Xenopus tropicalis: one gene and its partner. The protein of the gene in region 2 binds, or shares a complex with, the protein of the main gene of each other region. Links are inferred from orthologs where the notes say so. Each region holds a gene or a part of one and is shown on either strand. Other genes may lie near its edges.

Evidence for each region. The genes of interacting proteins can lie anywhere in the genome.
Region 1: the proteins of gna13 (region 2) and gpr4 are in contact, whole or in part, in a cryo-EM structure (PDB 9JHP), measured with the Homo sapiens proteins. The link is inferred for Xenopus tropicalis from reciprocal best matches to the Homo sapiens genes GNA13 and GPR4. Residues at the interface, in NP_006563.2 of Homo sapiens: Arg47, Pro341, Tyr343, Phe359, Lys363, Asp364, Ile366, Leu367, His368, Asn370, Leu371, Lys372, Gln373, Leu374, Met375, Leu376, Gln377; in NP_005273.1 of Homo sapiens: Gln45, Asn50, Arg115, Ala118, Val119, Ala120, Pro122, Leu123, Ala126, Ile204, Val208, Ser211, Val212, Ser213, Thr214, Glu218, Lys221, Ile222, Leu225, Asn290, Glu291, Gly292, Ala293.

The regions. Positions count from the first base shown.
Region 1 is NC_030684.2:70,518,975-70,524,338, reverse strand, and holds the start of gpr4 (G-protein coupled receptor 4), read right to left. Parts: upstream 2,793-5,364; 5' UTR 2,523-2,792; intron 2,456-2,522; exon of another isoform or gene 1,948-2,455; intron 1,115-1,947; 5' UTR 880-1,114; coding exon 1-879. UniProt on the Homo sapiens protein: Proton-sensing G-protein coupled receptor activated by extracellular pH, which is required to monitor pH changes and generate adaptive reactions. Activated by an optimal pH of 6.8-7.2.
Region 2 is NC_030686.2:50,664,459-50,669,822, forward strand, and holds the start of gna13 (guanine nucleotide-binding protein subunit alpha-13), read right to left. Parts: upstream 3,089-5,364; 5' UTR 2,804-3,088; coding exon 2,521-2,803; intron 1-2,520. Other genes in the region: regulator of G-protein signaling 9, read left to right, coding at 3,346-3,358. UniProt on the Homo sapiens protein: Guanine nucleotide-binding proteins (G proteins) are involved as modulators or transducers in various transmembrane signaling systems.

The sequences.
Region 1 (5,364 bases), on a different chromosome or scaffold from region 2:
ATAAAGGGCAGGATCTGCCAGACAGTTCAATGTGGCCAGTGCCAATGATGCATGGTATGCTGGGAACAGTCTCTCCTCGAGTGCACACCCTCCACCTGCATCGACTGAACCCCCACCCACCAGAAACACCAAGCTGCGTAAAAGCAGCAAAGCATGGTAGGGCCCATAGCAAAGTAGTGCTACACATGGAAGCCCTAAAGCTAGTCGCCGCACCCTTCTTCGTTCCCTTTGCTCACAGGATGCGCTACCCCTTAATGCTCGTAGGAGACCAGCGTAGCACAGCATCATGACCCCCCAGGGCAGCAAAAATCCAGCCAAAACCCTCCCTACATTGGCTAAGGCAGCCCCTCTTCCAGAAAGAGGGTAGCTCTCATAGCAAAATGTGTGGTTGTAGCGGTCTCGGTGGATAGCTTCACCCAATAGTGGTGGAGCGTTGGCTGCCAACTCAAGCATCCATATCAGTGCCGAGACAGCAGCAGCAGAGCGAATGGGTCTTGCACCTGGGAACCTCAAAGGATGTGCCACTGCCAGGTAACGGTCAGCAGAAACACAAGAGAGAAAAGCTGCACCAACATACAAGTTAGTGTAGAAAACAAAGCCGAATAAGCGACAGGCACCAGGGCCATATCCCCACACATCTCTTCGAAGGTAGTAGTCCGTCCAGGGAGGAAGAGCGCAAATAAGTAGAAGGTCAGAGAGAGAAAGGTTGAGTAAGTAGACACCAAGTTCTCTTCCTTTTCGCACCTGAAGCCAAGCTGCCCAAAGGGCTAGTAGGTTTGCTGGCAAGCCCAACGTGAAAACCAAAGCATAGAGTGATGGAGGAAGAACACTGTCCAGACCAGAGTCTACATTGCAGGCATCTGGGGTGAAGTTAGACATGGCAAGTAAGGTGAAAGAGGAGAAAAATGTCCAAGAGAGAGCGTTCAGTATTTCTTCTTCTGTTATTTCCTTTACTGTTTTCTGTTCTGTCTTCACTGTCTTTTTCGTTTGCTTTCTCTTGTTCACTCCTTACTTCCCTGCCTCTGGGGGGTGCGGAGTAGTATAGCTGCTTAGTTGAAATGCACATTTTGGCACATGACTTCTCCTTCTGATAACACTAAACACAGTGAATAGTCTGGAGTAAAAACAAAATACATCTATAAGTAGTTTGGTCTTGTGTATAACAATATAATTATTTAGGGCTGTAACGGAAACTGGTGAAATAATACTTTGTAGTGGGTGTTGTAGTGGTTAAGCGACAGGTAACTTTGCCATCTGGGTGTGTGTATTACACCAGGTGTATTATAGCAGGAGTAGTGATAGGAGCGGCACCAACTACTTGCAAAAGTGATTTAGTAAAGAGGAACAAGTTGAATGGAGTGTCAGTGTATGAACACTGGTTAATGGATTTGAACTAAATATTGAGAATGTAATTAAACAAGCCTGTTTTTGTGCACAACATGTTATGAAAGTTGCAGCTTTTATGTTGTGTTGTGCTTACTATAAATAACCACAACTGTAACTGTGCAATAGCAAAATAAAATATCATATGGATGCAGTGGACTAACAGATTCCTGTGTTGTAATGTGAAAAGGTTCAAGTTTGAGGGAATTGAGTGTAAGAGTATGACATATGACATATGAAATATGAATTAGTAATATAACTTTTTTCTATATAGTAGTACAGATTTGACGGGGGAGCACTAACCTATCTTTGACAGTTAGGTGCCTTCTTGTAGAATGTGCTAATTATTGTTAGCAGTGTATGAGGTTAATACTGTAAAGGAGGTAGCTGTATTATTAATACAAGCAAGACAGTTGTGGGATTTTAGATTAATCATAGGATGAAAAACTTAGTATGTGAAGCCAATTTAGGTATACTGATTGTATACTCAAAAGATTGCTTCTGTCAGCTAGCCTGTGGTCTTGGTTATTCTGTCTAGACTCAGTGTCTTAAGAGAGTGCTCACCTCTGGTTTTCTCTGCGATACCTCATTACCATCCGTCATGGGAGAGAGGGAGAAAGAGAATGAGTGTGATAGAGGAGGCTAGATACTAGAAGAGAGTAGTACGGGGGAGGAAGAACTAGGATAGAGAGTAGAGTGTCAGTGACTAATTGAGTGTCCCTGTGCCATATAAATATTTACATACCGAGCAAGATTAGAGTGTGAATCAAAAGAGAGAGAGTGCATGCAGGGAACACAGAGCAGAGGGGAGAGGAGAGCTGGAAGGAGTGTGTGCTGTATTTTAAGGACAAAATAAAGAATTATAGTTAGCAAGAAAGTGAGTGCAGACTTATTACAGAGTAAAGAAGGAGGAGTGAGTAGTAATTCCAGAGAGAAACCAGCCAAGGTCTGGTGAAAAGACAGGAGTTGTAGTTTACTACCAGCTGGAGAGCCCAGATTGGCCATCCCTAAATATGAACAAAACAAATACATACTATATCTATTTTAGTAATGCTAAAAAAAAAAGCAGAGGGTGCCTTTATTAGTTTACTCTCCTCTACTCTACTATGTGAGTATTTTTGCAATATAAAAACACTCACCTTTCTTGGAGTGGGAGGAAACTAATGGCTTAATTTGCAGAGTAGTCTGTATCATGCCTGACCTTGCCTGAAGTTCTTGAATTACTCTCTTTAGTTTGCAGCACACTTTCTGTAGCTTGCAGAGCTCTAGCTGTACTGAGCACAGTACATGGTGTGCATGGAAGAGCCGGCACAGAGGTTTGTCTTGTAGATAGGCAGCAGACTCAAGGGGCTGGGCTAAAGATTAACCCTGCTGAGTAGAAATCAGTGAAGAGCAAAGTGTGTACAAGACATTAAACTACCTATGCTGAACCTCATTGTATATAGTTCTTGATTCTGTGAAGAGATGTCAACTAGCCTCATGTCATTAGTGTGGTAATAATCCATTCCGGGCATTTTTGAGAATGTAATGTATCTAATTTACCATCTCTGAATGAGGTATACACTAACATAAGTTTACTGCCCATGACAAACCAGTGGAACCACTGTCAGCCACTATCAGCCTTTTCCTCTTCAATAAAGTTTGAATGAGTTTGGCTTTAACCTACCATTTTAAATACCCTGTTTCATATCCTTTTATTAAAAAGTGTGATGGAACCCACCTATGAGATCTAAGCAGTGAGCCCATCAGTGTCATAAAATGGCAATGTCTATATTTACTATAATGTTTTATGTGTTTACAGGGCCGGATTTGTCTTCTGGGGGCCCCTAGGCCGCCCCCGTTGATCGCCCCCCCCCCATGCGCAAACAACCGCTCGCCCATGCGCATACATTTAAAGTCCCATACAAAGCAGTGGGGAGAAGTTCCCACTGCTCCGTATTGAAAAAAACTTTAAAAATTCCGTTGCGGCGGGGCGGCATGCCGCCCCTACATTTCTGCCGCCCTAGGCCCGGGCCTTTGTGGCCTCTCCACAAATCCGGGCCTGTGTGTTTAACTTAGTATTCTACTCTTGCGTAGTAACCTCTTCACTTTTGGTAAGTATCTATGCTATAAAGATATACTAATTATATAAAGCACTGTACTGTTACATAGGCAATCCATAAATAGAGTTGTGAAATAAAGCAAATCTGTGAAAGAGCTTGTATGGCTAGGTTTTATAATCTTGCTGGGACATGGTTTCTTATATCACATGGCTTCGGGTGCCAAAGTTCTTGTGTTCGAAATAAAGTCCAGGGTTCCCAAATTTCCTTGTGTATCTCAACTTTTATAACATTGCAGAGAGCTAATGCATTGAGTGAATATTTTTCTTGCTCCAGCCAAGTATGGGGCAAGCCAGTTCAAAGCTATCACCCAGTGGGTGGTTGCTATAACTCGTAATGCCAATTTGTTCTGTTTTAGAGAGTTTTGGAAGGCTTCAAATTTTTTAAGTTGTTTAGAGGCATTTATACCTTCTACGTTTTATGATCAGCATCTTAAGAACCAGGATAGTGTGCTGATCAGAAATCCCAATAAATATCATCTTCATGCAAAAGACAACCAGTTCTACCTCTGTACATGAGATTTCACACTTTCTGTACAAGCACAAGTCAAATATTGCCATTCTCCTATCTGCTTGATGTCAGATAGCAAAGTCAGCCTTTACCTTTGCTTCCTGTTTTACACTTTACATTCAAAGCCATACCAAATAATGCTACTTTTATGTGCACAGCATTAAACAGTCTAAATACATATGTACTGTTTAATATTTGCCCATCTTAACTATAGTAACTTTCTCCTTTTTCAAACTACACTTAACTGGTCCATTCTAAATGCTTCTCATAGACTCACCTAACTATTCCACAATTTAATCAATTGTGCTTCAATGCAGTTCACTATATGGATGCCCTATTTCTCTCAGATTTACTTTAATCATACCAATGGCTCACAACCCTTAAATGGTACTAACATTAAATATAAAAAAGAAAGTTTTTTATAGTCTTTAATCATGCCTGAAAATGTACATATTGACATAGTAGCTAAACTTAACAAAATACAGGTTTATCTAAGTTCAAACTTTTTACACACTGTATCTGCTTAATTTCTACTTGATCCAGAAAAAAGCAAACAAAAAAAATCTTTAGTTTGCCTCACAGGGAGAATACCTTCTTGATTCAAAATTGCAGTTCACCAGTTCATGAGATTGAATACGTGTACCATCGTACCCCTTCTCAGAAGTACACATTGTATCTACCACTACAACGGCTTCTGGAAGAGAATTCTGTAGCGTTACAGTTGTAGCAAATCACTATATGAAAGCTTGATCTGGTGCCCAAATACCTTGGTTTTTTTGTGACCAGCCATTGTAGCCATACTGAAACCTTAAACTGCCACACACTGCCAAATACTGTACATGTAGACTACTCATTGAAATAAACAGTATTGAGGTGAGAGGAGATAGGATATGCTAGCAGGAGTTCAAAGTATGCCGATATTGCCAGTCTAAATGCAGCTTAATACTGCATTACTGCTGGGGTTGAAAGATTGGGATAGAAAACAGATGGGAATGGGGGGTTCTGAAATGGAGCAGATAATCGAAGAAAAAATGGGGTGCATCAGAAAAGAAGTTAAAAACCAGGAAAGATGTTAAAGCCTATAGGACTTTGTACAATGAAAGTGGCATGAGCTAAAGAGAAAGGGTAAAATCACAAGGGAATTATGGTTAGGCAGAGTATGGGTGAAAAGGTGAAATGAGGGGACACTGAAGACAATTATAAAGGAGAAAAACAACATAATAAATAATTTTCTGTTATACAAGGCTGTTTGTATGTGTCACATGTTCAGTATCTTCGCTAATAAATGGATAAAGGTTGGAATTTTAACTTATGGGGCAAATGTAGTTCAGACTACTGGGTATTTATTAACCATAGGCACAGGCATAAGGTT
Region 2 (5,364 bases):
GGGCCCAATGCACCCCACTAATGTCACAGACACCCCGCTCCCCCTGCAGGGAGGGCATATTACACGGCTCCTTCCTGGGGTTCCCTATGATAGCAATGCTACATTGCCCATATACCCCCACCCTATAAATGCCCCCATGCCTATAAGTGTACCCGTTACCTTGGTGACCTTTGGGGAAGCTGAATGAAGCCAGAGTAGAAGCCATGATGGATAACACTTAATGTCACTGCTGCAAAACCCCGCCCCCCATTATGCCCCCCCCCCCCCCGGTTACCCTATCCAAGGGTTAGTGTCACTGAGGGGCCATTACTGTACGCTGTACTTACTAAAGGGGAAGATGAACCACTGATGACACCCCTCTGGGCTGCCCAGCTTTGGGGGTAACTTTGCAGTGGTAGCCAAGTTGATCATTTTGACACAATTGCCCCCTCCCCAAATTCCGCAAAATCTGCCCAAACCCCAGGGGTATCTACATCCCTCCCCCCATGGATCTAATTAATCCTTGCACAGGTTACCCAAAGGTCCCATTATAATTGCCCCCTTTGGTGTCACTTGGATGTCATTACCAACAAGCACATGTATGCCCCACTAGGGGTAACTAGAGAACACTGGGGCCCCATAATATGGACCCCCCCCCCCGGTACCTTGTAAACATACAGCAACTGTCACCCAGTCCCAGATAACTTCACACGTGATGTCAACGCCTTCAGTGCCACGTCCCACCCTGCCCCCTGGGGTATTAGTAAGGATGTTGTGACCCCCGGGGTGGCACCAATAGTGCTGCTGTGGGTAAGCACTTCCCCAATATAACCGTGCCCCTCTGAAAGGGTAAAATTTGACGATGTACAAACTATTACCCCCACTACTGGAACTGGGGTACCTTTATATAGCGCTCGCCACTCAAACCCCTGGGGTAACGGGGCTACTGATGCCCCTTAGCACAACCGCCCCCCAGGAACAAAATATAATGCTGCTGCAGATACTCCGCCAATCTAACTGTCCAACAAAGGGGTAGATTTTTGGATAAATGCCCTGGGGTATATTGGAAGACATTTCTGTAGATACCCCTAGCCCATACATATAGGTTTGTTTTAGTTGCCCTACATACCCCCCTAATCACTTCCCCAGGGTAATTAACACACTCCTGCACATAGGGGGTACACTGATGGGGCAGGTTTGGGTACCCCCAGTTTAAGTGCCACCCTTGTGTGTAGGTTTGCTATTGTTGCCCTACATACCCCCCTAATCACTTCCCCAGGGTAATTAACACACTCCTGCACATAGGGGGTACACTGATGGGGCAGGTTTAAGTAAACCCAGTTTAAGTGCCACCCATGTGGGTAGGTTTGCTATCGTTGCCCCTCATACCCCCCTAATCACTTCCCCGGGGTAATTAACACATTCCTGCACATGGGGGGGGGTACTCTGATGGGGCAGATTTAGTTACCCCCAGTTTAAGTGCCACCCCTGTGGGTGTTTGCTATAGTTGCCCTATATACCCCTAAAATCACTTCCCCGGGGTAATTAACACATTCCTGCACATACCCACCTCACATACGGGGGCAATCTGATGGGGCAGGTTTGCTATTGCTGCCCTACATACCCCCCTATTCACTTTCCCGGAGAAATTAACACATTCTGCATGCGGGGGGGGGGGGGGAGCAATTAGGTACCCCCAGTTTAAGTGCCACCCCTGTGTAGGTTTGCTATAGTTGCCCTACATACCCCCCCTAATCACTTCCCCAGGGTAATTAACTCATTCCTGCACATAGGGGGGCACTCTGCTGGGGCAGGTTTAGTTACCCCCAGTTTAAGTGCCACCCCCATGGGTAGGTTTGCTATAGTTGCCCTACATGGGGGTATGTAGGGCTAGTCACGTCCCCAGGGTAATTAACACATTCCTGCACATGGGGGGGTATCCTGCTGGGGCAGGTTTAGTTACCCCCAGTTCAAGTGCCCCCCATGTGGGTAGGTTTGCTATAATTGCCCTACATACCCCCCTAATCACTTCCCTGGGGTAATTAACCCATTCCTGCACATGGGGGGGGTATCCTGCTGGGGCAGGTTTAGTTACCCCCAGTTTAAGTGCCCCCCCTGTGCGTAGGTTTGCTATAGTTGCCCTACATACCCCCCTAATCACATCCCCGGGGTAATTAATCCATTCCTACACATGGGGGGGGGGGTATCCTGCTGGGGCAGGTTTAGTTACCCCCAGTTTAAGTGCCCCCCCTGTGGGTAGGCTTGCTATAATTGCCCTACATACCCCCCTAATCCCTTCCCCGGGGTAATTAACCCATTCCTACACATGGGGGGGTATCCTGCTGGGGCAGGTTTAGTTACCCCCAGTTTAAGTGCCCCCCCTGTGGGTAGGTTTGCTATAATTGCCCTACATACCCCCCTAATCCCTTCCCCGGGGTAATTAACCCATTCCTACACATGAGGGGGGGGGGGTATCCTGCTGGGGCAGGTTTAGTTACCCCCAGTGGGTAACTAGTGACACAATTGCCCCGGGCCGGGTACCTTTGATGACGTTGCTGTAGATGGTTGCCCGGAACTCCTCCTTGGCCCGCAGGTCGAAGTCCTGCCCGTGGATGATGCGCATCTGCTTGAGGAAGGTGGACTTGCCGCTCTCCCCGGCCCCCAGCAGCAGGATCTTCACCAGGCGCTTGACGTAGGTTTTCTCCCGGGAGAGGCAGCGATCGATCTCCTTGGACTTGCGCTGCTGCTCGGCCTCCCGGCTGGTGAGCACACAGTTGGGGAAGCACACGGACAGCACGGAGCGGGACGGCAGGAAGTCCGCCATCTTACACACACTCGCCCTGGCTCACTCCTGCCTCATCGGCGGCCCTGGGACGGGGGAGCGGTCCTGGCGGTGCGTGCGCGGGAGCGGCGCTGGGTGGGTACGTGCGCGCCCCCGACTCCTTTCGCTCTGAGTGGAAGGCGGGAACGCGCGGTTCCTTCCGTTCGCTAAGGCGCCGGTGTGTGAGGCAGAGAAAGCGGCTATCGTTTCTCTAGGGTTCCGCCGCGCTGGGAAACGTCTCGTCTACACCGAGCAACGCGGGAACTGGGGGCGCGGCCCGAACCCGGCAACACCATCCGCCATCTTGCAACTCTTCCTCACGTGATGCTTCCTTTGCCCTTCTACTGGCTAGCGCACCTCGTCATGTGATCCTCCTTCTGCAATTCTATTGGCTGCCAGACACTTCGCTCTCTAGACTTGCTCCATCTTGCTGAGGGGCTTCTGTTCTGTGGTGTCAATTGCCCCTCATTCTGTGGCAGGATACCCCTTCTGTAGGCTGCCTGAGAAATTACTCTCCCCTATAAAAGCCTCAGCTTACTGAAGAGATGAGAGGCCAAAGTAATACCTCTATATTTTATTATTATTTATATATAATATTCAGTTTGGTCATTTTGCCCTTCTACTTGCAGTCTGGCGGCTATCGCACCTCATCATGTGATTCTCCTTCTGCAATTCTATTGGCTGCCAGGAAGTTTGCTCTCTAGACTTGCTCCATCTTGCTGAGGGGCTTGTGTAGTGTCAAATGCCCCTCATTCTGTATATAGATGTATATATATATATATATATAAAGTGCCATGTGGTATGAGACACAGTAGGAAGGAGGTCCCTGCCCCGTAGCGCTTACAATCTAAGTAATTATATAACCCATTATTGTACTGCGCTATGGAATATGTTGGCGCTTTATAAATACATGTTATTAATAATGACTAGGGATGCAGCAAACCCACTTTTTTGGGTTCGGCCGAACCCCCAAACCCACCCCGACGGATTCTACTGAATCTCAAACCAAATCCGGGATTCGGCGCAGCCCTAATAATAACTGGTTATGTCCATGCAAGGGAATTTCATGTTAACCATTTGCACTCATTATTGCTAAGGGGGTTGGTACCGTAAAGGAGTTGCCCACCTTTGAGTTACTTTTAGTATGACGTAGAGAGTAACATTCTGAGACAATTTGCAATTGGTCTTCATTTTTTATTACTTGTAGATTTTTAATTATTTCAGGTTTTTTGTTCGGCAGCTTGCAGTTTCAGCAGCTATTTGGTTTCTAAGACTCAAATCACCTTAGCAACCAGGGAGTGGTTCGAATGAGAGACAGGTATATTAATAGGAGAGGGGCTGAAAAGAAGAATAAGTGATATAAAGTAACAATAACAATAAAACTGGAGCCTCACAGAGCAATAGGGTTTGGCTGCCGGGGTCAGTGACCCCCATTTGAAAGCTGCAAAGAGGCAGAGGAAAAAGGCAAATAATTCAAAAACAAAAAATGAAGACCAGTTGAAAAGTTGCTTAGAATTAGCAATTCTATAACATACTTAAAGGTGAACCACCCCTTTAAAGGAATATATAGCCAACCTTCTGTTTAATCATGGGGACTGCAGCCACCATTACTATCCTATACCTGGCTATATGGTGCATTCTGATTGGCTACTAGAAATAAGGCACATATTTAAGCCCTTGTCATGCTGGAGATGCCAAGTAATATCGCCCTTTTTAAGTTGTTCTGAAAAGCCCTGAAACATGGTCGCCTCGCTGTTACACAATAGGGTGGGGGTTCTTCTATTACTCTCCAGCCAATCACACACGGGCTAACAACTATTTGCTCAAGTATACAGGGAAATACACAGTACATAGAGCCTGCTTTATAGGCCATATATATATATATAATTACAGTAGGAAGTAAAACCTGCTTATACAAGGGAAGTCAGCGTGTCATTAGTGCTGCTAATTAGAGCAAGGGGCCCCGAGCCCCGTCCTACAGTCTGTGCCTGCTTAGGGAACACGGATATGAGAATACAGTTGGGGTTAGGGTGGTTAACCATTTGGTTGCTGGGGGAAACACAAAGTAAATAAACATAGAATGGGCGCTGGTCTTTGATGTGGGAGTTACGTTGGCTGTAGAGCGTCACACCAGGAAATTCTAGTCTTAAAGGGGTTGTTCACTTTCACTTCCACGTTAACCTTTACTATGATGCAGAGAGGGATATTCTGAGACAAATTGCTACTGGTCTTCATTTTTTATTATGTGTAGTTTTTTAGTTATTTCATTTTCGGTTCAGCAGCTCTGCAGTTTGGCGTTATAACAGCTATCTGGTTGCTAGGGTCCACACAACCTTAGCAACCAGGGAGTGGTTTGAATGAGAGACAGCTATATGAATAGGAGAGGGACTGAATAGAAAAAATTCATTAAAAGTAACGGTAACAATGAAACTGGAGCCCCCATGGACACGCCCACCCTTCATTTGAAACACAGACAGGGACCTGAGAGGATCTATAGGGAGCTCCAATAAAGGGGCAATTTAATAAGCTCCACGTGCCGTGGCTCTCAGCGATACTCATTCTAT